2 linked regions of the Notamacropus eugenii genome follow. The protein of the gene in region 1 purifies or fractionates together with the protein of each later gene. This does not show direct contact. Links are inferred from orthologs where the notes say so. Each region holds a gene or a part of one and is shown in the gene's direction. Other genes may lie near its edges.

Evidence for each region.
Region 2: the proteins of TICAM1 (region 1) and TLR4 purify together in Homo sapiens (affinity purification with western blotting; 3 studies listed by BioGRID). This does not show direct contact. The link is inferred for Notamacropus eugenii from reciprocal best matches to the Homo sapiens genes TICAM1 and TLR4.

The regions. Positions count from the first base shown.
Region 1 is NC_092875.1:72,299,898-72,312,326, reverse strand, and holds the start of TICAM1 (TIR domain-containing adapter molecule 1), read left to right. Parts: upstream 1-7,258; 5' UTR 7,259-8,201; exon of another isoform or gene 8,202-8,216; intron 8,217-8,362; exon of another isoform or gene 8,363-8,985; intron 8,986-10,012; exon of another isoform or gene 10,013-10,135; intron 10,136-10,788; exon of another isoform or gene 10,789-11,028; intron 11,029-12,429.
Region 2 is NC_092872.1:437,460,926-437,473,769, forward strand, and holds the start of TLR4 (toll-like receptor 4), read left to right. Parts: upstream 1-7,254; 5' UTR 7,255-7,559; coding exon 7,560-7,646; intron 7,647-12,573; coding exon 12,574-12,740; intron 12,741-12,844.

The DNA.
Region 1 (12,429 bases):
TTATAAAAAGAAGAGCCATTCCCCAGTTGATAAATGATCAAAAGATAGGAACGGTCAGTTTTCAGATGAAATAATCAAAGCTATCTATAGGGATCTGAAAAAATGTTCTAAATCACTGTTTATTGGAGAAATGCAAATTAAAACAATACTGAGGTACTACCTCACACCTATTAGATTGGCTAATAGGACAGAAAAGGAGAATGGTAAATGTTGGAGGGGATGTGGGAAAATTGAGACTCTAATGCACCATTGGTGGAGTTCTGAACTGATTCCACCATTATGTAGAGCAATTTGGAACTACACCTAAATATTTATAGCAGCTCTTTTCTGGCAGCAAAGAGTTGGAAATTAAGGAGCTGCTCATCAATTGGGGAATGGCTGAAACATTTGTATATGATTATGATGGAATACTATTGTGATATAAGAAATGATGAGCTAGATGCTCTCAGAAAAACCTGGAGAGACTTACATGAACTGATGCAAAGTGAGATTAGTAGAATCAGGAGAACATTGTACACAGTAACAGCAATATTGTAAGATGATCATGTGGATGATTTATTCTAAGTAATAGTGATCCAAGTGATCCAAGACAACTCTGAAGAACTTACGATGAAACATGCTATCCATCCCCAGAGAAAGAATTGATGGCATCTGAATACAGATCGAAGAATGCTTTTTTTACTTTCTTATTTTTCTTGTGTTTTTATTTTGGTCTGTGTTTTCTTTTACAACATGTCTAATATGGAAATATGTTTTTCATGATTACACATATATAACCAATATCAAAGTGCTTGCCTTTTCAATGAGAGAGGTGGGAAGAGAGGGAGACAATTTGAACTCAATTTTTAAAATGAATGCTGAAAATTGTTTTTACATGTAATTGGGGAGAAATAAAATATCAAGTTTTTAAAAAATTACATGGTAAGGGAGGGGAGATTTTTTTTTTCTGAGTGCAGAAATTTATGACACTATAAAGTAATTAGGGACTAAATTTGTGACTAAAATGTAAGTACAGTGAATTTCCAAACTGTTGTTTGAATTTTTTAAATAAATGCTGAAATATGTTAGTAAGTTTTGGGATGCCATTCTGTAGAATTTGTTTTAAGGTAAAATGAGAATAAAACTTTGTGAAAGTTACATAAAAATAACGCTAAGGCCTTTTATCACTTTTTCCCTAGAGCGTGGCAGATTTATTTTTTTATTGCAAGGAGGAAAGTTATTTCACTAACTAGAAAAAAAAAGGAAGAGCTGAAGCACTGTCAGTGAAGTTTCAAAGTAAAGGAAAAAAATGGGTTTGCTGTATATAGTTTGAATTTATCTGATACTTATAACATGCCCATTATTACCTCTTTTCTTGACCATGAAAAGAAAAAAAAACTTGTTTAAACCAGGAAGCAACTTTAAAATAAGTAAAATTTAATTTGGGAGAATGTTTTGTGTTTCCACTATTTTTTTTCTGTGAATGATATACAGAATGTAATTGTTTAGGTAAATAAAAGCAAAATTGTCTAAAGGTTTTGGAAAAAATCATGCATTTATAAACTCTAAAGAACCCCCCAAAGGGAACAGTATTGCAACAAATTGGCACTGTGTAATAAAAACTTGAACTAAAATGGCAAAGGAGAAATTGAGTAGGGGAAGGGGGGTGAAAAAGATAAATTCTATCAATAGTCTGGGATATGCCTAGGAAATAGAGACCAGAGGAAATAAGCAAATAGAAAAAAGTAAGAGAAATGTCAGATCAGAATATGGAAAGAAAAAAGAAAGGGGCACTTTGAAGGACTTTAATCACCATCCACTATGGGATATGAAAAGGAAGAAAGGAAGAAGTTTTAATTAAGTAGTGGTGAGAGAATAGGTAGAAAGTTAGAGAAAGTTATAATCTGTTTGCACTGAGTGTAAATGGAGAATTTGAAAGTAAAAGGTTTGGAGTTTGAGGGAGATTTTTGATCTTGTTGAGATAAAATAGAAATGAGAAATACAATCTGGTTATTTATACGGAAAACATAGAAATATATTTGCAGTGTTGAATTATTTGAGGAAATCAGGCCTTAAGGGAAATATAGTATTTAGCATTAGTATTTAGCAATGTGTTTAGGAACTGCAAGTTTTGCTAAAGGTATAATTGGATCAAAATTACTCTATATTGGTCTTGAATGCAATCTATACTGCGTTGAATACTGCAGTAATATATTTGCAGTATAGAAAGCTTAAAGTTCAATCTAAGCAGATTGGCCTCCCAGTAGAATGCCCAAAGTGATCACATGAATGGTTTTCTATGTAAGATAATTTGGAAAGGCATTCAATTAAATCGATGTCATATGGCTGGCAATAAGTTTTGTTTCATGTTTTAAATACATGATATTGTGTGTGTTATTATTGTTAATTTGTTAATTTTATTACTATTGTTTATATTCTAAATTTTCTTGTATTGTGAATTTTGAGAAATCATTGTATAAGAAATGCTGTTAAGAAGATGATGCAATTGTATGATTGGAAAATTTAACTCCTTTTGATCTGGATGCTGTGAAATTATTAAATTATTAGAGGCTATCGTGATGTTAAAACCTATCAAGTATTTAATTGGGTATATTTTAAAAGAGAAGAATAGTAATTATTTTGTAAGAAAATAAAAAAAAAAGAAGAAATCCTTGTAAAAATCTTCTTATATGTAATCTTGTCAGGTTCCTTGGGACCATCTGCTTGGACAAGGTCACAAAATCTTATTGGTCCTTTGAAAGAACTTGCTAAGTGTTGTGAAATTCCAGAATAATCAGTTGGTTTACTGAGAAAATGGGATTCCTCTCTTCTAACACGAACACTCTTTGCCAAAGCTGGGGGAGAATTTACAGGTTGTAACTTATATGATGGTTTGTGATTATGAAAATTGTGAAATTATACCTGGAAGTATCAATGTTTTTCTGGATGTAGAGTAAACTGTCATATAATCACTGTTTATGTGGAATTCCAGCATGAAATTATTTTCTTAATTGTTATGGATTGATTTATAAACCAGGATGAGTTTAAACTCAAAAAAGAAAAAAGAAGAAAAGGATGTTGAGTGAATTGTTTTGAAAGGCTTGGTAAACTTTTTATCATTAACAGTTACTGTAAACAGCATGAGAGAAATAATAACTGTACCTAGCTTTAAGTTGTGATTAGTGAAACTTGCTATTTGAGGTAAAATCTCTTGGTACTGGAATTTGATATTGTTCTGAGTTTTGAATTTGGGTAAAAATGTCTGAATTATCATTGTCAATACCATTCATGGAAAATTCCATGAGCTGTTCAAATGGAATGTGATCCAAGAGCTGCTACAGGTGGGAAATTGGAAAGGATGACCTTTCATAGGTGAATATAGGATCTTCTTGCCTCGGTAATTTCTTTCTTGAATAGGAATGTTTCCCAACAGGTTAATCTTCAGCCTGGCTATGGTATTCTATGAATAAGGTGGAACTTTTCTGTGAGATTGGCTGTTCCAAAAAGTTAACTGTGACAAGGAAATCAAACAGAACTAGGGATGCTTTATCCTGTTATATCTATGTTAAGTCATTCTGTGCTTAGGCCTGGAGGTACAGTCCTGATGTTAATGCAACCATGTCCCTCCTTCTTCCTTTCATAGAAATTTCTCTAGCTATGGCAGGTAAAACTGTAATTTTTAAAATGTAATGAATCTTATTGTTGCAATACCCCAGCATCTCTGAATTGCTATAAAGGGATGCAAGTAGAAAGTCAAGGAAATACCTCCACAAACCTATCCTGATCTATGCGCAGATGTTTGAGAGATGTACAAGAGGTACCTATCAGATACTTGAAGATTATAGACACTGCCAAAGGACTTGACACCTCCTAAAGCTACAACTATGCTGGATTTCTTTATTTACCTTATTGTAATGTTGCTTGTTGTATTAGTTCTGTGTGTGCTATGGATCTGTTACCTATTCTGTAAGCTGCTTATCATTTCTGCTTGGATTGATTTGGGAATTTTTTTTTTAATTGTGAGACTGCCAATAGTCTCAAATAAGGGAATCATGAATAACAAGAAAGAAAAAGCCAACTTCATTTTGTCTGTAGTTCCTCTATCTTACCACTGACCCTGTTTGTATCACAACCTGTCTCCTGCCTCTTCAATTTAGCAGGGTCTCAAAGGATAGCTAAGATAACTGAAGAAGAGCCTTTCTAGTTTCTAGTCCAGCAATAGGCCTGTTCAATCACAGGATACTACATTCCCTATTCCTTCTCCACAAGCCCCCAGCAATGTCCTTGTCTAATCCTGAGGCACCCAATTCACCTCCTGCCTAAATTGAAGCTTTGTCCTTTTGTTCCTTTGTGGAGGCCTGGCTCCTACAGGTGGGACTCTTCTGCTGACAAATTCAATAAACCCATTGGTTTCTAAATTTGTGGTACTGGATTTGGGTTTTAGTTTGGGGGTTTTGGTTCTGGTTTGTGGCAGCACCAACAATTTTACCCACAATGCTCACTGTAGTCCTTTGAGGTAGGTGCTGTTATTATCCCTACTTGAGAGTTGAAGAACCTGACAGGTTAAGTGGCTCACTCAGAATCTCACTGCTAGTAAGTGGCTGAGGCTGGATTTGAACTCGGGTCTTCCTGACCCCAGGCTTAGTTACTGATGGAGACTTAGGTAGGTCTACAGGCTGAATCTCAGAAATAGGTTGAGTAAAGATTAATTCAAGTCCTGGTTGAGTTGGCATTTCTCATGATGAATTCAAACTTTTTTCTTTTAAGGGGTCTGGCCAATGAGGCATTATAGCCTTCTGTTTTCTTCTTGTCAAAGAGAGGATGTCAACCCTAAACTGACTTTGGGAATTAATTGAATTCTATGTCCTTGCTTAGGATCTGATGTGAGCTTAGGAGCTGAGCTGAATGGGATCTAGGGCTTCTAGGCAGTTTGGGGTGGGAGAAGGAGAAGGGAAAAATACTAGGCTCCTCTTCACCTTAGGACCCTGATCTGATGTGATCCTCACCTGCTCTACCTGTTATTCCATCTGATCTTCCCAACAACCCTGGGAAGTAGGTGCTATTCTTATCCTCATTTTACAAATGAGTAAACAGAGGCTGAGAGAGGATAAGTGACTTGTCTAGGGTCACACAGCTAGTAACTCAATCATAATTCGAACTCAAATTTTCTAGACTCTAGGCTCTTCACTCTACTTGGTACCTTGTGGCAAATTCGGGCAAACTTAAGTTTTCTTATCTGTCTTCCTCGGATATTTGTTCAGTAGCTGACTTTCCACATACCCTCACCCATCCTGCCCTCACTGTCTTATTTACTTCTTCAAGAAAACCCTGTGGAATGGGCAGGCATAGCTTCTGGTACGGAGTGATGGCTCTAAGCTCCTTGTCCTTCCAAAATCAGCCTGGGGAACCTTGGGAACTCATCATTCCCAGATGGCCCAGGATGGGATGTTGTAGCACCAATGCCACTCTTCTCTTCATGATTTACAGGTGAGGGAACTGAGGCCTGAGAAAGGTGAAATGATTTCCCTGAAGTTGGAGACAAATTGGGTCTTCGAGACCAGATCTCCCTAATTACTGCTTACTGCCTGGTCTCATTTTGACATATGTTTATTGCTACACATATATTTCCCCAGTAGAATGTAAAATCTCTGAAGGCAAGAGAGCTTTTTGTGCCTTTTATCCCAGTGTCTGGCCCACACTAAGTAGACAGTAACTGCTTACTGGTTGAGGGAGACAGGATGGGAGACTGAGTCACTTGCTCTGACATCAAACTCGTAGTAAGTTTGACAGGAAGAAGCCTTGCCATTGGTTTTTCAGGCCCATCACTGTGATTGCTGCAGTATAAAACCAGAGGGTGCTATAAGAGGCATTCTGGTTTTTATGAGTCTGTCCAAGTTTGACAGAAACCAGGCTTTACGGAAGCAGATGGTACTGAGAACAGAAGTAAAAATCTTTTTAGAACTCTCTGTGGGGGAGGGGAAGAGTTACATCTAGATCAGAGGATCATAAATTAAGAGCTAGCAGGGACTTAGATATCACATCCAACCCCTCTCATTTTTTACATACAAGGAAACTGAGGCAGAGAGAAGTTAGGTGACTCATCCAGGGATTATAACACTAGTAAGGCAGAATTTGAATTCAGGTCTTCCTGACTCTAAGTCCAGCCCTCTGTAGGGAGGGATAGGGAACTCAGGGGTACTAAAAATAGCCTCAGGACCAGTGGTGTGGAGAGAGTTCTAGCTTGGAGTTGTTTCTATACTACTTTTAGCTGTGGCAACCTTGGGCAAATTAATTCAACTCCTATTCCCCTTCTGTAAAATGGGGAGAATATTGGTATTATCCTTCCTTCTCTGGGTACCTATGAAAATGGAGCCAGAGGGCTTTGTAACATTGTACAGTGGGTGTGTCATTGTAGGCCTGGGGCCACTTAAAGCTCTCAGATGATCCTGTATCCTCACCTGTGAAATGACTCCGACCCCTAACCTCCATAGGTAGGTATTGAGGAAAGTGCTTTTCGAATACAGTATTGAAATATTAAGGAAATGGGAGATTCTATTATCCTACCATGGGACACTCCTCTTTCTCTTCTCCCCTTTTCTAAGACCTGATACTTCTTACTGTTATTACAATAAAAGCTAAGATTTGGGGCAGCTAGAGAGTGCAGTGAATAGAATATTGACCCTGGAGTCAGGAAGACCTGAGTTCAAATATGACCTCTGACACTTACTAGCTGTGTATGCATGGGCAAGTCACTTAACCCAGCTTCCCTTAAAAAAAAAATTTTTTTTTTAAAATATATTTTGAGCTTTACTCAATCACTCTGGGAGGTAGGTGCTATTATTATCTTTGTTTTACAAATGACAAAACTGAGGCTAAGATAGAGAGAGATATATGCTCTGGGATTCTGTGTAGTAGCTAACACCACAGAATCTACCCAGCTTCCCTGAGGAGAGAAGGACAAACCAAAGAAAGGGGTCAGGGAGGAGCCAGGCCAGGAGGAACTAGAGGGGCAGAGGAGCCAGGGTCATCTGCCTCACCTGACTTCGCCCAGAACTTCTTTTACTAGGGAGTGATTGAGTTCCGAAGCAGCTAGGTAGTAAGCAATGTGATTCATGAGAAAGGGAGTGGATTTGGAGCCAGGAAGCTTGCTTTCACTTTCAACTTTGTTTCCTCTCCCCAGGCCTTTTCACACACTTCTGGAATGACTGACTTCTCCACTTACGACTCAGAATCCGGCCCCCTCCTTCTCATCCCTCCCATAAAGCATCTGACCATTTTCAAATTATCTTGTACCTTAACAACAATAGCATTTCTATAGCTGAAATAGGTGTTATTATTACCCTCATTTTACAGAAAAGGAAATTGAGGCAGGTAGAGGTGGTTGGTAGCTTATCTAGGGCCACTTAACCTAATAAGGGACCCAGGGGAAATTCAAGGGCAGGTCTTGCTTACCCCTGGCCCATCTCTCTATCTAACCGTCCCTGTTACAACCAAATTATTTATTTTCCATAATGTTGTACCGGAATATGCACTTTCGAGGCGGGGACTGGTTCCCTTTTTCATTTGTTTATGCAGCTGGAAACCTAACTCTGATTAGGCACTTAAATGAATGATTGTGGTCACTTTCTGTCTATGAGTCTTAGTTTATTCATCTGCAGAATGGGGTTGCTCGGTCAGGGAGAGACGATATACATTAAGAAATGAAAAAACAAATATAAGAACCAAAAAAAAAAATCAATTAAAACAATTAGCCTACGAGTAAGTTCAACTTCCACTTCCCTTCCCCCATCCCTTCTCCTATCCCCTCTCTTCCTCCAGGTTGGTAGTTAGTAAGCGGAGGAAACGGTAGCTAGGGACAGATTAGGGGCTTTTCCCTAGCTGGAGACTGGAGGCAATTCTATTGTTTTGTTTTTTTTTAAAAAATCCAGATTTCCACTAAAGCCGAGAGCTAGGAAGGAAGAACTCCTGCCCCTCTCAGAGGGCGCAGGGGCGGTACAGCCTCCCTGCGCTTGGGGCGTACACGGATCCACGGATCCACGGATCCACCCTCTAGCAGCGGAGTAAGACGGACCTGGCACAGACCTGGCACCTCCCCGGCCCGAATAAGCGCAGGTGGTTCCGCCCGCGGTCTGCCCCCACCTTCAGCCTGGGGAGCTCTGGAGGCCCAGGGAGCACCCTGAAGGGCTGCATGATTAGAAGATCCGGACACCCCATGTCGGCGGGTAGGACTGTCTTAGGTTGGTTACGGAATTTTCTCTGTCCTCCAGAGTTGGGAGCTCTCCTTCGCAGGGTTCCGAACTCCTGGTGGAGTCCCGACCCCTTCTGAGCTTTCCCTCAAGTCTGCGTTCGCAGTGACTGTCACTAACGCCAGCGCCCCCCCCCCCCTCCCCCGTTCTGAATTCCTCTCTTCTCCACTTCTCCCCATCCCACCCTTTCGTCCTCGGAGTTTCTAGCTCCGCACCCTTTCTCTCCAGAGCCCAGGTAGAGCTGGATACTCCCGTTCGCCCAGGTTTGAAGTTCAGGAGTTCTCTCCTTCCTGGGTCCAGGAGGCCCTTCCTGGCTCAGCCTGCCTGGAACATGAAGTTTGCTCTGAGTACCCACTGGAGAGCAATGCTCGGACGATACCGCCTCCCCTACCCCTTTATGCCTCGAAACGCATCGCGTCTCTTGGGGAAGTCCCAGTCAGTCCCCTCCAGTGGCTGGGGAAAAGGGAAAATCTTGGTGCCACTCAAACATCCGAGGGAGGGGCCGGGCCGGACTCGGAACACGTTGCTGAAAGTTTCGGTAACCCATCTGGTTGTCCGGCTTCCGCATCCAGCCTCCTCGGGGGAGCGGCTGGTGTGCTTGGCCTTGCCTGGAAGTACTGGGATTGGAACCTTCATTCTGGGGCAGTTAGTGTCCCCCACTCCCACCCCACTCCTCCGCCAGGTCTTGGGAAATTCTTTGTATGGTCTTCTCTGTATGGTCCCGACTAAGCACTCTGGCACTCTGCACTTCCAAAGAAAGGTAAGGGCAGGGTCCAGTGGGGGCAGGGAAGTCCACCATTTCCTGGGTCATCTTGAGCTCAGGATCCCACATGGATCCATAGTCTCTTTCCCTTGTGGTGGAAGCTGATTGATTCCTCACTCAAGGAGACAAGATTTGGGAGAAAGAAGGGAAGGGCAGGAGGTTGTTATTAAGTGCCTGTTAGGACCAGTATTACTGCCTCCACTATCTTAGTCATCGATCTAGGCGTCACACTGCTCTGCTGAGCAAAGGTTAAATTACTTTCCCTGACATTCCTTTACCTTAGGAGTTTTTAATCTATTTGGGTAACTGGATTTCAATAGAATTGATTTCCGTTGGAATCCTCTGTATTTTATTTTATGCGTTTAAAAGCATTCTGAAAAGGCATCCGTAGATTTTCTTCAGATTGCCCAAGGGACCCATGACCCCAAATGCCCCAAAAGTTAAGGACTCCAGTCAGTTTGTTCTGCCACGTCCGACTCCTCATGACCCCATATGGAGTTTTCTTGGCAGAAATGCTGGAGTGGTTTGCCATTTCCTTTTCCAACACGTTTTACAGATGAGGAACTGAGGCAAACAGAGTTAAGTGAATTGCTTGGGGTTACATAGCAAGTGTCTGAGGCCAGATTTGAACTCAGGAAGATGAATCTGTCCATTTACACCTTACCTTTTCGGTATTATTTCCTACAAACTCTCAGCCAAATTTAATAGTTCTCTGTGCTCCAAACATTTCTTGAACTTTGCCACCTTGATGTATTTGCTCACTCTACCCTATGCTTGAAATATCTTCTGTTGAATTCCTAACCATGCTCTTAAAAGCCCAGCCCAAATGCTACCTTTTTCCTTTGTTGTGTTTTGTTCACAAAGGTACTTGAGTGTTAGGACAATCATATCTCTGACTTCATATTACTAAAATATTTCAGATCAATATTTTTCACTTTATTCTTTTTTTTTTTAAACTAAGCTGGTTTTATTATCTTAACAAAATACCTGCTAAAATCTAAAGGGCCTTTTGCTTTGTATGTAGGGAGTACCAAGATTACAAATGCCTGTTTTCCCTTCAGTCGTTACCTAGGGAAGAGAGAACATGGATACATTGGAGAGATTTTCAGTCAACAAAACGGACAACTTATTGGTTATTGGGAGTGATGTAAGTGACAGCTAAGGGTCAAATCCAAGTTATAAACCTGGGTGGCTAGAATTTATATTTTATTCTAAAAACACTAAAAAGCCCCTGAAAAAGCTTCTTGAGCAGAGAAGTGACAAGGTCAGCTCAGCTCACTGTTAAGTGCTTCATGAATTGAATTGGAGATAGAGAACCACTAAGTCTTAACTAAACTCTCCATCTACCCCTGCTCTTAGTAATGAAATCTGTTGCTGTTTGCTGGTGCAGGACACCAGATGAAGGGAAAAACCATTCTGGTCTTTGACATCATGGATGAATCGATAATTTATGAAATTGTGAAATGGGGGCAGGCATGCCCAGTTCTTTGGGTACTCTCCAGGACAGACCTTGATTGGCAGCCAGAAACAGGCCAGCAGTCACACATTAATGAAGGCAAACAACAGAAAATACAGAGACAAGCAGCAAGAAGGATACAGAGGCAGATGGTGATGTGAGGTCAGGGGATGGGATGGGAAAGGAATCGTAGGGAAGAGGATGGGAAGGAGGAGAGGCAGAAGGTATCACTTATATAACTATTAGAGTCAGAAGCACTAGGCAGCATGGACCCAAGAGGGGTCAGGGGGCATGAGTTTGATGTCTCACTCTTATAAGGTCTTTTGTTTTTGTTTTTGAAACAGACCATCTCTTATTTGTGCCACCTTGGGATTAGTTCATTAACATCCACATCATCTCAAAGTTGTCGGTAATACTTCAGTTAACGTACCTACATCATCTCAATGTTACGATCAACTTTTGATGTTCTGTTGGTGTGGAGCTGTGGAGGTCTGGATTTTGTCTATGGACCAGATATCATAGGACCAAAATGCTGACAGTACTGCCTAGATGGCTTTCCCTTATTCAGCACATATTACCAGGAGGTGAATTTTGCTTAATATATGATCCAGTTTGTAAATTATTCTTCTTGGATGTTTGGGTTGATTTGTATGTGACTTCCAGGTTCCCTCTGCAATTTCCTGCTGTTGCTCCTTTATACTGACCACTTATAAGCTTAACTAGATTGACTAGAAGTGGGGTGGTGGTGGTCAGGGAGACCAGAACAAGATATAATTTTTAACAAAGTGGGACTATCCTTTGGAGGAATGAGATATAGACCTGTAAATAACTATACAATTCAGGAAAATGAAGAAGGCAAACTAAGTGGTTGGAGGAGAGGTCTCCTTCATCTTAGGGTGAATATGGAAAGGTTTTCTGAAGGAGATAGTACCTGAGTTGGTCTTTGAAGGAAGAGAAAGGATTTCAACAGGAAGAGACTGGGGGATGGGGATGGAAGGGTTGCTAGTAGCTCAGCCTGAATGGGCCATAGAGTATGGAAAGGGGAGGAGCATAAAATAAATTTGGGAGATGGGTTGGAGATAGACCTCAGAAGGGCTGGAACTGTAAAGTAGGGAGCTGGCATTTTATCTAGTAGGTAAGGGGAAATCATTGAAGATGTTTCAGCAGGGGAGTGATGTAGTCAGAACTAGGCCATAGGAGGCTTATTTTGGTAGCTGCGTGGAGGATGGATTAGAGAAAGAGAGATCCTCTTAGGAGACTATTGAAACTGCCCCCATGAGAGGCAGTGAATGCCTTAACTAGGGTGGTAGCCCTTTGAGTAGTGAGAAGGGTATGGATGTGAGATGTAAGAGGCACAGGACTTGACAACTGACAGGATGAGGGGCTGGGAAGAGTTAGAGATGACCCTGAGGTTTTCCCACTGGGTGAGTGGATGATCCTATCAACAGGACTAGGAAAGTTGAGAGGAGGGATAAATTTTGGAGAAAGGTTATATTCAAGAAGCATTTATTGTTTTCTTTGTGCAAAGCACTGCATGTCAAAACAAGGAAAAAAAAGAGTCCTTGTCCTCATATATTCTACTATGAAATTATAAACAAATACAAGGTATATTTGGAAGCACAAAGTAATTTCTGGGGAAGGGAAGGATAGTCAAAGGAATTAGGAAAGGTCTCATGTGGGAGGTTACACCAGAGCAAAGCCTTGAAGGACCTTAGGGCTTCCAAGAGATAAGGAAGGACAACATTCTAGGGATGGAAAACAGCCTACAAAAAGGTGTATAGGCAGTTGAAATATTAAGTGCAAGTAGGCCAGTTTTGCTGAAAAACTAAGTGCATGGGGGAGGTGGGGTAGAAATTTGTAATTGGCGTGGAAATTTAAACTTGATCCAGAATGTGAAGGGTTTTAAATGTTGAATTGGAGATGCCAATGAACTGTTTAAATGACGTTGTCCTGGAGTCTAGAGTCCCTACCCTAGAAGTCATCTA
Region 2 (12,844 bases), on another chromosome or scaffold:
GATGGTGAGGAGCAGAGAAAGGGAAGCTCTCAAAGAATGGCCTAAACTGTTTTGAAGTGATACCAGGCCTTCACCTTGACAGGGTCAGTAGAGAGCATGTTACAGGATATTTTAAGAGAATGAGAAAGTTTGGAACAGCCATTGTTGAGAGTTAGCAAATTGGGGAGATAGTACAAATGTAGTAGGGGCACAGAAATACATATAATATACATACATACATACATGTGTATGTATGTATATACATATGTGTATGTGTGTATGTAGATGATTGTGCACTCAATACAGACTGAGGCTGAGATGCAAGCATAGATCAGTTCTCTGCTTCTTGTGCAAATTTTGGCTTAACGATTAACAACTAAGAGAACAGGTAATCTACCAGCCCACACTATACCATTCATATGCGGAACAACAAATAGAGAAATTTTGAAGGCTGGATGTTTGCTTACCTTGGCAGCATACTTTCCAGGGATGTACACACAGAGATGATGTGGACAGACATGCATTGCCAGAGCTAGCTCGGTGTTTGGGAGGCAACAAAGAAAAGTGTGGCAGAGAAGAGATATTAGGCTGCCTAGCAAACCGAAGGCCTACAGAGCCTTGTGGTCACCACACTGTTGTGTGCCTGAATCCTAGACAATCTGCCAGTACAGGACCTTAGAACAAAGGATACTAGAGTTGGAAGGTAATAGCACATAGACTATTTAATATAGAACCTAGCGTATGGGATTTATATCATCTAATCAAGCTCTTCGTTTTATATGTAAGAAACTGCAACCTAGAGAGGTGATGTGAGGCATTCAAAGTCATACTATTTCTTAATATTGTAAATAAGTTCTTCTTTAAATTATTTGATTAGTGAGTTTACACTCCCAAACTGTTCTACTTTCAGCGCAGCAGATTGCCTCTCCTTGCCTGCCTCAAGATGTTTCTTCCCTGTACCTGCTCTCCAAACTATGACTGGCATTGCTGTTTTATGAAATGACCCAGTCAAGTGCACTTTTCTTCAGTTAAATTACACTTCCTCCTTTTTTACCCTGGAATGCCTCCCCCATTTCCAGCTCACCTTTATTTTTTGTCTTTACCTATTAGGAAGGAAGATCTTTGATAGCAGGGCCCACCTTCTTATTTGGTCTTTGCACAATTCCTCTTGCATGTGTGTGAATAACAAATTTCTTCCCTTCATTTCTGTCTCTCTCTCTCTCTCTCTCTCTCTCTCTCTCTCTCACACACACACACACACACACACACACACACATTTTCTTAAAATGGGGACACTCTACACAATTCTCTTATTGGCATCAAATCAGAAATAAAAACTCAAGCTTTCCCTTCCCCCCTCCTACAAGCACTGCACGAAGCTTTCATTATTAATCATCTATATGTTATCTGTACACTGCCTGCCTCTTTATTAATCACCTTTATGACACCTATTGCTATCAATCATAAGGTCCATGTCTGAATATTACCAATAATTATCTGTAAATGTTCATTACCTGCCAGTCTTAATTATTTGTTTTCCTCTTCAAGTACTGACAATATCTGGTCTTTAACAGGTAGTGGTGAAGAGAGGTGGTGGAGTGTATGGCTTGGCTCTATAACCAGGACTGGGTTCTATCTTTTAGAGGACCCTGAGATTTTGGAAAGTGCCCTTCCTCATCTTGATGGGTTGGAAAATATCTAAAATGAGACTCCTTCGCTAACATTCCACATTACAGCTAGGAAAAGCGTAGCTTTCTCTTGAACCTGATAGGGAAAATAAACATAACTGATGGCATTTTACTGTACAACCATCATTTCCTCTTCTATTCTTGAACTCATTTAAACTCTTTCACCCTTTAAGGAGTAAATTATTTATGGCACCAAAGATACTAGGCAGCAATAAAACCCATGTGATTTTATGTCAGTTCTTATTGCATTTCCTGATTTTTCCCCTTAGTGCTAGACTTTCATGACATGGGAATCCCTAAAGACCTTCATTTTTGCTTTTGAACACTAAAGGATACTAATGGAAACCCCAAGGGAAAACCGAAAGTAGTGGGTCTAAAAAGTTTAGTAAGAAATTTCTGGCTTGCTATGGCAGACCCTCATCTGACTTTAGAGGGCTATTCACTTCCAGGTTTCAGTCTTCATGCAGCGATACCATAATAGGTTAAGAGTTTAATGTGCCATTGAGATAACCTAGTCCAAACCCCTGTTAGAGAAGTAAGTCCAAGAGTAATAACACTACTAGATCTATACTCAGGGTATATTGGCAAAACTTTAATAATGAGCTCCCCAAAACCACAAAAAGGGGAAAGTAGGGTAAAATAACACACTTCAAAGTTTAATCTGGGTCAGTTAGGTGGTACCATAGCAAAAGTGCTGGGCCTGGAGTGAATAAGACTAACTTTCCTGAGTCAAAATCTAACCTCAGACACTTACAAGCTATGTGCCCTGAGGTAAGTAACTTAATTCTGTTTGCACAGTTTCCTCATCTGTAAAATCCACAGGAGAAGAAAATGCAAACCACTCCAGTGTCTTTGCCACAAACATCCCAAAAGAGGTCAAGAAGAATGCGATACAACTGAGCAACAACAATAAAGATTACTCTGCATTATTAACCTTTATCACCTTAAATCTAGACAATCAACAAAATAATAAGGCAAGCCCTGATTTGTAGCCTTTACCTATTTGTGGGGTGTACAGTATCACACTAAAAATTGGATAACCCTTTCTCCTGAGTCAGTTCAAGCTGGCTTGAGTACATGCCTGCCTACTTTCAGAAGATCAGTGGAAAAGGAAAAGCATTCATGTTTCCAGCCATATTTATAGCAACCTTTTTTTGTGGCAAAAACTGGAAACTAAGGAGATTTCCACCAGTTGAGGAGTAGCTAAATTAATTAGGATAGATGGATATAATGGAATGCTACTGTGCCATAAGATGATGAAAGGAAGGGTTTTAGAGAAACCTAGGAAGGTTTGTAAAAAGTGATATAAGGTGAAGTGACTAGAAAAAGGAAGATGAAGTATGCTACAACATATTATTACAACACATTACAACAAATTATTTTGAAAGACAAGAATTTTGATTAATTAAATGAGCAACTATTATTCCAGAGAATCTAAGATGAAATATGTTACCTACTTCCTGACCAAGACGTGATAAGCTCAAGATTCAAAATGACATATATATGTTGTGACATGAATTTATTTTGCTTGACCATGCCAATTATAGGGGTTTTTTCTTCTTTTTTTCCCGCTTTTCTTCAGTGTGAGGGAGTTAGGAGAAAGAAAATTAAGGCTTATTAATTGGAAAAAGTAAGTCCAGGTCAGGCGAGATGGCAATTCCCCTATCCTGTATATATATCAACCAAACCTGAAAATATGTCTAGTACTCCACCCTAAAGTAGAAAAAACATTCTGTGTAATAACTACCACCACAATCTCAATGCAAAAATGCATCTCATATGATTCTTTGCCTACAGGGTCTACTTAAGTCACTCACAGAAACATGCATGCACAAATGCACAGAGACATCATCATCTCCCATACACAAAGGAGTGGGTCCCTTAGCTCTAACAGATTTCCTAATTTGTGATGAGCAAATATCTGGTGCTGAACTATGGAAAGTAGTTGCCACTTTTTAAGCACATCTCTGTAGCCTGACAACTTCTTTATCTGTGTATCTTTCAATATAATACCCACGAGAGAAAACTGTCAAATCAGGGGAATCTTGTAAAATGAATAGTTCTGAGAAATTAGCCCAATCATTTTTACAGATGAGAAGAAGGCTGAAATTAGAGGGGAATCAGTTTGCCCAAGGTCACAGAGCTACTGTCATCTGTGATGTTGTGTGAAAAGTAACATGCTGTAGTGTCAGAGAGGAAAGGATTTGTAGTCAGAACACCTGGGTCCAACTCTCAACTCCTCTGTTTAGTATCTGTGTAACTTTGGGCAAGTTACATCACCTTCTCAGTCTTAGTATTGCAATCTGTAAGCCAGGGAGATTGTAATATATGACCTCTCAATTCCCTTCTAGCTCCAAATGCTCTGAGCTGTCCATTGATTCTCCAGACCATTCTAGTACTTCTCCCACTGCTTATCTCCCAAAGATTCCATTTATTTCTTTTACAAATATTTATTGAGCTCCTACTAGTTATTCAATCCAGTCTCAGGTCCTAGGGAGGATACAAAGACATGGCCCTTGCCCTCAAGAGAAATGAACATGATAAAACAAATGTAAATGAGTATAAATATATGGGTTGATATGGATTATAAAATGCTTTCCTTACAATAGATGTATAAGGTAGGTGAAGAATCTAACACTCAGAAACGGGAAATGACTTACCCATGGGCAATCAGAATTTCAATTCTTATCTTGACTTAAACTTCAAAAATTTTGCTTCATAACAGGAGTTCTTAACTATTTTTTCTTTTGTCATAGACTCCTCGGAATAATGTTTTTAAATGCATAATGTAAAATCCAAAGTATTACAAAGGAAATTGATTATTTTAAACTATAGTGGCTGTATTAAAGTTATATTAAAATATAGAATTCTATTGAAATAGTTATATTAACATGTAGCTACGTGAACAAGTTCATCAACTTGTTTAAAGTTAAGAACTCTTCTTTTATACTACGTTGGACTAACAATCTATTTAAGCAAATAAGGTATATGTACATTTAAGATTCATGAATAACATGAGCATAAAGTCTCAAATAATCCTATAACCTACACATGTGATGTTATAAAGAAGATATGCCAAAGTTTCCAACATACAGATGATTATCAAATGGATCTGTGATTTCATCTATGTGGATATTCTATCCAGCAAAACAAATCAAGGGATTTGTAGTATTTATAGCTTACTTATAGTATTTAGTAGATTCATCTGAATGAAGTGTCCTTTCCTTATTTGCCAGTTGTTCTCTTTCAAGCCTCAGAGAGAACATCTGAAGCTTCTCTTGACTGTTTCATAGGCAGGAAGTCATGTCAGTAGTCCCTATCTTTAGACTCTTAAGCCAATCAGGTCTCAAGAAGGGTTTCCATATTCTTTAGGGATTAACTAGCCTGATGTGATGCATTTTGCCCATGTTTTCTCCTAATTTCATCATAGGAGGCCCATCTGCTAGCTTTTTTTGAATTCTTTTAGCATCTTGAGGGTATCAATAGAGTATCAAAACTTTCTGTAGTCGCTTATTCTTGTTACGTGACCATTATGTCATCTTTTTCAATATTATAAATTACTTTAGTTATATCCTGTAACATCACTTTTCCTTCATGATTTTTTGTTTGCATTATTTTGAAGCCTACTCATACTCAATACGTGTCTTTCCACTGGTTCTTGGGTAATATACAGTTTCACTTCCTCAGTGACTGGAGTATTCTATGACTCAGCCTGTAGGGGATAATTATACAGCATGCCAGAAACAGAGATCTAGACACCTTCCAGTGCCCTTGGGAATTTAAGAATATGAGTTGATAAGGCCTTCTGTACTCCCAGGATATGTATGCTACATCACTATTAGTAATTATTCCAGGGTCTTTGAACTTGGTTCTGATATAACCTCGCAGTGACCTTCACATAAATTGAAAAGTGTCCACCTCTGTGCAGTAGGGGAGATGATTCCCCTCCCTCTCAGGACATCCAAATCACCTTTGCATTGCATTTTCTTCTTGTCCGTGTGCTGACTAGTTAATTGAGATGTTAAGGTCCCTAATAGCACTGAGTGGCAATTTTAAACCAGATTTCTCCATGGACCTGAAAGAGAGCAGCGTTTGTGAGATGAGGCTGATCCAATTAACTGGGTGAAAACTCAGCAATACATCAGAGAAGATGATTTTTTTATGATAGCTTGAACCTTGATATGTTATCTCTAGTATTAAACAGTCATCCACTGTTTAAACTATATTTTTGAATGTAAGAGGCTTTTTTTTCATCTACTGTCTAAATGTCATGGAGAAGGGTGGATTATAATTTTGATTGCTGAAATTAAATGCAAGAGGGTCTTTGGACATTAGTCACATGACACTGTTTGTTCTTGCATATGATTTAAAAGGGCTTAACCCTGGTCTTTAAAATGTTCTGTTGGTTTGTAACCACTACAATGTGATTTCATGGTAGATTGCCCTCCATCCTGTTCACTCTGTCTCATTTCTGTCTTGGGGTTGGCAAGGCTTACGTATTTATTCAGGTTTGCTTTTTTTGTTTGTTTTGTTTTTGCTGAGAAGCTTAAAATGTTGTCATTTCTCTTCATTCTTTCATTCATTTATTCATTCCGTAAGTTTGAATTGATTGCCTCTTTCCCTTCAGAAGCTTAGAAACTAGTGGTTATTGATTAGAATAAAAAACACTAGACATTTAAGCTGAAAGCATAACTTAGATTTTAGTCATGACCTTCTTTTCTTGCTTTTCTTAGAACATTTGGACATAGAACATTAGACCTGGAAAGAATCTTAAGGTATAAAAGGCATAAAATACTAGAACATAGAAAGGTAGAGTTGGAGGGAACCTTAAGATATAAAATGTTAAAACTTATAGGAATTTTAGGATATGTGGGACATAGAGAGAGTATAGAATAGGATATTAAAACTAAAAAGGAGTTCAGAGTTCATTTAGTTATGCCTCCTTTCATTTTAATGATAAGGAAAGTTTACTTAAGTTTACTTCCTTATGAATAACTTACTAGAGGAGATAGAACTGTTTATTCCTATTTCTCTATCCCTTAGGATAAGTTGCCTACAAATGGTTTGATGTCAGGCAGAGGAATGGGTATATCAGATTGTATATAATTGATCAGTGGGCTGAGCAGGTCCTGAATGATTAAGAGTCAAATCAAATACTATTATTGTCATCCATCATTATCATCATTATGAACTGAGGTAGCTAAAGTATAGTACAGGTACAGTAGCCTGAGCAGTGGGCCTGGAGTCAGGCAGATTTAAGTTCAAATCAAACCCCAGACAATTATGAATTCTACAACCTTGGGCAAGACACTTAACCCCTATTTCTTTCAGTTCCTCATTTGTAAAATGGGGACACCCTGGAGAAGGAAATGGCAAACCACTCTATTATTTTTTTCCAAGAAAACTTCCTGGGCAAAGTCCATGGGGTTACATAAAGTTGGACACACTTGACTGAATAACTGAATGCAACAAGCATGAACTAGAAAACTGGGCTTACAATAGCCAGTGGTTTCCATGAATGGTTTGTTCTTGTCCAGTACTTTGCCCAAGTCCATTAAGGCAAGAGGATATCAGATAATTTCCTGGGATAAGAGCCAGCTTCCTCTTGAAACTCTCTCAAATACTGGCATACAAACATTTCTTTTTAAAATCTGCTTCTAACTTCCTCTCCCTCCCAAAGAAGATAAATACTTGAGAAACAAGGTCCCAGAATGCTAATGTGGTGACTCTCACTTCCTCTCTACTCCTTACCCTGCTCCAGTTTGCATACTCATTGCAGTGGGGCACCCAGCCTGGGGAAGAAAATTCTGTGTTTTATGAGTGGTACCTGCCCAAGAAGATTCACATTGCCATGTGTTCGTACTGCCATCTCTGCTCCCAGAAAATGCCAGGATGGTCCCCTGGATGGCCATGGCTCTGATGACAGCCACAACTTTCTTTTCCCGTCTGGATCCTGGGAGTTGTCATTCCTGCCTAGAGGTAAGTGTTAAGAGAATTGGGTACTATTTTGTGTCACCCTGCCCCCTCTCTCAGGGCTTCTCTATTGTTTCATCTTAAAAGAAAAAAAAAGGTTTTGAAAAACTGTTTAAAACTTTCCAGTGTGGGCACCAAACAGATGTTTGACATTGGGTAAGAGCCTTCTCTCTCTAAGCCTCAGTTTCCTCAACTATAAAATGAAGAAGTTGGACTAAATGATTTCTAAGGTAATTTAAAATTTTAATACTCTATGTTATAAGCTTCCTTCTATAGCTAATGCTCTAAGGCTCTATAAACTTGGATCTAGCTTACTTTACAAAAACAAAGCAAAACAAAGCAAAAAACTAGGAACTTCACAATGTCACAAGCATACAGAAGCAGAAAGAAATAACTCTTGTTGTTGGGGCTGGCAGCCTGAATCTATATTTGCCCAGGGTGCTAGAAGTCAAAAACCTAGGCTTTGTGTAATCAATGGACCTTTAGCTCCACAGTAATCTCAGCAGAAACTCTGAGATTTAGAGGAAAGTGTTACATCTTCAAAGTTCTGTTGGATTTTATTTTTTCCTAGGGGTTTGCTCTTTTAAAGTAGGACCACCTGTCTCAGTGGGGGGGGCTTTCTCCAGTCGTTCTGATCTTATCTTGCCACGGGATCCAGATGGCTCCAGAGGAGAAAGTGAGGCTGGTGACCTTATGCAGCCCTCCCTCACTTAACTCCAATTCACTTGCAAGTCATAGCATCATCTTCCTAATGTCACAGTCCTCGTTGAAAATGAAGGACAAACAACAACACCTATTTCAGTTGTCTTTGTCACAACTTTAACATAAATGCCTTTTGCAATAGATGCCAAGAGGTCTTTCTGTGGCCCGTGCTGCTAGGTTAGATAGATTGTATGAAGTAAAGTCCAGACTCAAACTTGTAATTAGCCCGCTGTCTCTAGCTGTGTCCTTACACATGAAACAACCAGTTTAAACATACGATATTTCAGTAGATCATTTCAGGGAATCATTTTGTTGTAAACAAAACACCCATGAACTGGTTTGACAAAATAATTGGGTTTATGACTCATGTTTACTTTTATATTCTGTCCACCGGCTTAACAGGTTGCTTCAGAATCATATGCAAAGACTACATTCCTCCTCCAAACATGGTGTTATGTCATTGTGCTGGGCTCAGAGTCTTTTCATGTGAAAAATGAAAGAAATAGAATGTTAGAACATTCATTGTGAGATCAAAGGGAAGGATCTTTGAATATAGAGTGTCAGAGCTGGAATATAACTCAGAGAATAGAGGGTTGGTAATAGAAGAGATGTTAGAGACCATCTGGTCTAGAAACCTTTTCTTATAGATTAATTTAAAAAATGGTTATCATATGAAGGATGACAAGCTTCTCAAAACTTCATAGAGTTCTAGAGCAGAAAAAAGGGATGAAAAATTTTAAAAAAGGAAAAAAGATGCTGCTCACATGCTCAATTCTTCCTGCTGAAATTCTCCTCCCCCTACTCCCCCCCCCCCCGCCCCAAAATTGCTGGCAACTAAGTTTCAGACAAGAAAATTAATTGAAACATCTATTTGGAGCATTCAAGTTTCTGTTATTTCTAAGTGAAAGCTAGTAGAGAAGCCTATAGAACATTTGGACTTTCTCCCTATCTGGGCTTCTATAAAATGAAGGTAAGAAAACAGGAGGAAAAAAAGGCAAGAGAAATCATATCAGCCAGTGCCTGGCATTCTGGGGAATTTTTCTGGCCTTTTTCAAGGCTATCGCCATGGTGATTCCTCCCCAGAAAGGAGCAGATTCCAGCTTTAGACTCCAGCTGAGGACATCACACTGGAACCTGGGAGCCAAGAACACCAGGGACATAGCAAATGATTAGAGCAGATGAACATTTTCTGCGTATGTGCATCTGGCCATAGATTTTTTTCTTTTATGAACGTCAGAGCCAAGAAGAGAAAAGTGGGAATGATATTACTAGACTTTCGCTATTTTGCATCCTGAAGTGTTAGGAGATCTGTTTAGACAAAACTCAGTACAAAGGCATAATTTTGCTAGAACAGAACAGGGCTCATAGAATTGATTGTTTTGTCTCTTAATGAAAAACAAACTTATATGCTGATCACATTTAATTTCTGGGGTTTGTTTCTTCCCTAGAAAGTACTCTGATTATATTACCAGCATCAAAAAGTAAAAGCTTCTCCATGTAATGTCCCTCAGTGTCTGCTAAAGGTCTACTTTTTCCCCATATAGCCTAACTGACCCCATGAGAATACAGGTATACTTTGGGCTGTTTAAGGAATATGCTTTCAAAAAGTTTTTAAAGCAAATCTGTGATTTTAGTCCAACTCTCCTATTGACATTGTCTATATAACTATAACGAGATATAGGTTCACATGAAAATGATGTTGGTGTTGTGATAAATAAAACTTCAGTAAGTTCTTTTTTTCTCAAAAACTCATTATATGTTATAAGAAAAATCATATTTTATGGCAAAATATTGGTAACACTTCTTGGATATAAATGCAAATTGATTTAAAAAAAACCCTTCTATTCATCTAATACCTTATTGCTTTACAATACTTTATGTATATACAACAACTATCCAGTTAAGTAGTGTAAGGTAGGATACAGTGGGCATAAGTACTATTATTCCAATTTTGCAAATGCTGCGACTCAGAGGGCAGAATGAACTTCCCCCAAATCTGGGTAATAAATTGAATTGGGATTCAAACTGGAGTCATCTGACTTTGTGTCCACTGAATCCCACTGCTGCTTTGACTAGGTTTGTTCTTTTAGCCACCGTAGCTTAAAGGCTGAAAAGAAACCCCAAGCCATAGTAACCTATAGGAAATAGCTGAAATAACCTTTGAAGATAATCTCGTCCCACTTTATTCATTTTACAATGGAAGAAATAGGTCTAGAGAAGAAAACTGACTTTTATACATTCATGGAGAAAACTAGAATTTGAACTCAGACTTCAGCCTCCAAAGGTAGAATACTTTTTACTATCCTGTCCTTCTTCCAAAACCCCTGCAGTTTCTCTGAAGATCCCTCTCTGAATTTCTAAGAAAGAAAAACAGGCAACCCACCCTGGTTTCTTCAACCCTGTTGCCTAGTACTTGGAAGATATCAATGCCTTGTAATAATAACAACAAAGATAGATAACCATAAAGAACATTGCTCTAGGTCTTTCTGGTTTATTTGCATGCAATATTTCATATAATCATTCTATCAACCCTGAAAAGTAGATAATGTTGCTGTTATGCAGGGAATATTATTACCTTCATTTTACATTTGGGAAACTGAGGCTTAGAGCTGAAGATCATATAGTTAGCAAGTCGAAGCATAAGGGCTCAGATCCAAATCCTCTGTTTTAAGAATCTATTTCTTTTCCCTTATATTCTATTTCTCTCTCTTTTGAAAAGTCCAAGTTGATCTGCATCAAAGGAGAAGGAAACATTGTGTCACAGTGAAGGAAATATTTCAGATTGTAACAGAGCAAGAGGCAAAGGGATATGTAGTACACACCTGGAAATAAAAAGAGAATTGAAATTGTGGTCAAGGAAACCGTTTATTTAGTTGCATGAAAATGGGAAAATCATTCCAAAGGCAGTGATTATGGAACAATGGGACACAGAATTTCCAGAAATTTAAGCAAAAAGTAGAGAAATTGTATAATTTCAGAGCTTACTGGAATCACAGAACTTTGAATATTGGAGCTAGATGCTACCATAGAAAATATCATGTTAGACCCCAGATCACAGAATGTTGTAATTGTGCAGAATCTTAGTACCAGGAATTTTAGAGGTGAAAAAGTGATCTTAGGTATCATCTAATTCATTCCTATTCGATTTAAGACAGAAGAAAATTGAGGCCTAGAAAGTATCTCGCCCAAGGTCACATATGAGTTAACAGTGTCATAGATGAAACTAGACAAAGCCCAGCCTAGGCCAAGACTCCTTCCATTTTACCAGGATAGTGATCAAAATAAAGGTCAAAGACTATGATCTCTATGCCATAGTAGAATTTCATTTCTAGAATTAGACTGTGAAATAAAATGGTAGGCATCTAACATAAACATCGCTATTAGTAACAATACTACCACAAATAAAAAAAAACACTTCACATTTATGTATGATTTAAAATAACACTTTGAGGCATTTATTCTAAGTATTACCACTTTAATTAACAAAGAAAAAAATGAGGCCCCAAAATATGAAGTGACTTATCTCAGGTCACAGAGCTTCTCTTCCGGAGAGCCAAGAGCACAATTCATATCTCTTCGTTTACAGCCTTATGCTTGATACATGGAGTTTAATTAAAATGGAATATATATACATATATATGTATATATATTATATATATATATATATATCCTTAATAAAAGTACTAGATGTGAAATCTGGCAGAAGAGTCTTACCTATTTTAATTTTCTCAGGCTCTTTAAGAGATACCATGGTTTAGTGAAAAGGACAGTAAATTTGATGAGAGAAGATCAAGGTCTGAAACCAGGTACTGCTGCTTATAAAGTATATGACATTAAGCATGTCATTTGATCTCTTTGCACTTCAGTTCTCTCATTGGTAAAGTGAGGGAAATAATTTTTGTGCCATTCAGTGCCTAAAGATGTTAAGAAGAAAGTGTTTTAAAAATGTTCATTTAAAAAATGAAGTAAAAAAAAACCTTTAACTTTTCATTTAGATCCTGAAATAAAGACAGTCTTAAACTAGGCACAAATATCTAGATGAGTTCATGGACATTCAATTTAATACTTATCACTTAGCGCTAGCTGAGGATAAATCATAGGTGATAGACGATGGTACATGGTATTTAACATCCCCTTGTTCAGGTTTGACTTAGAGTATAAGGAAAGCAGTCAGGATAAACATGATTGTTCCATATAATAAGCACCAGTGGTTTATCTGTGAATGATGCAGGTTTTTCCAAGCATTGAATACCAATGCATGGACCAAAATTTCTCTGAAGTCCCAATGGATATACCTTCATCCACTCAGAACTTGGACCTGAGCTTCAACCCACTGAGGTTTTTAGCTCCACGAAGTTTTTCCAGGATCACTGGACTGAGAATCCTTGACTTGTCCAGGTAATGAGCCCTTATTTCTTCTTATCAGTTCTAGAAATTATTCTTTGAAGTGAGACTCTCAAGTCCTAATTTTAACTTATTACATAATTAAGGTTCATTCTCTT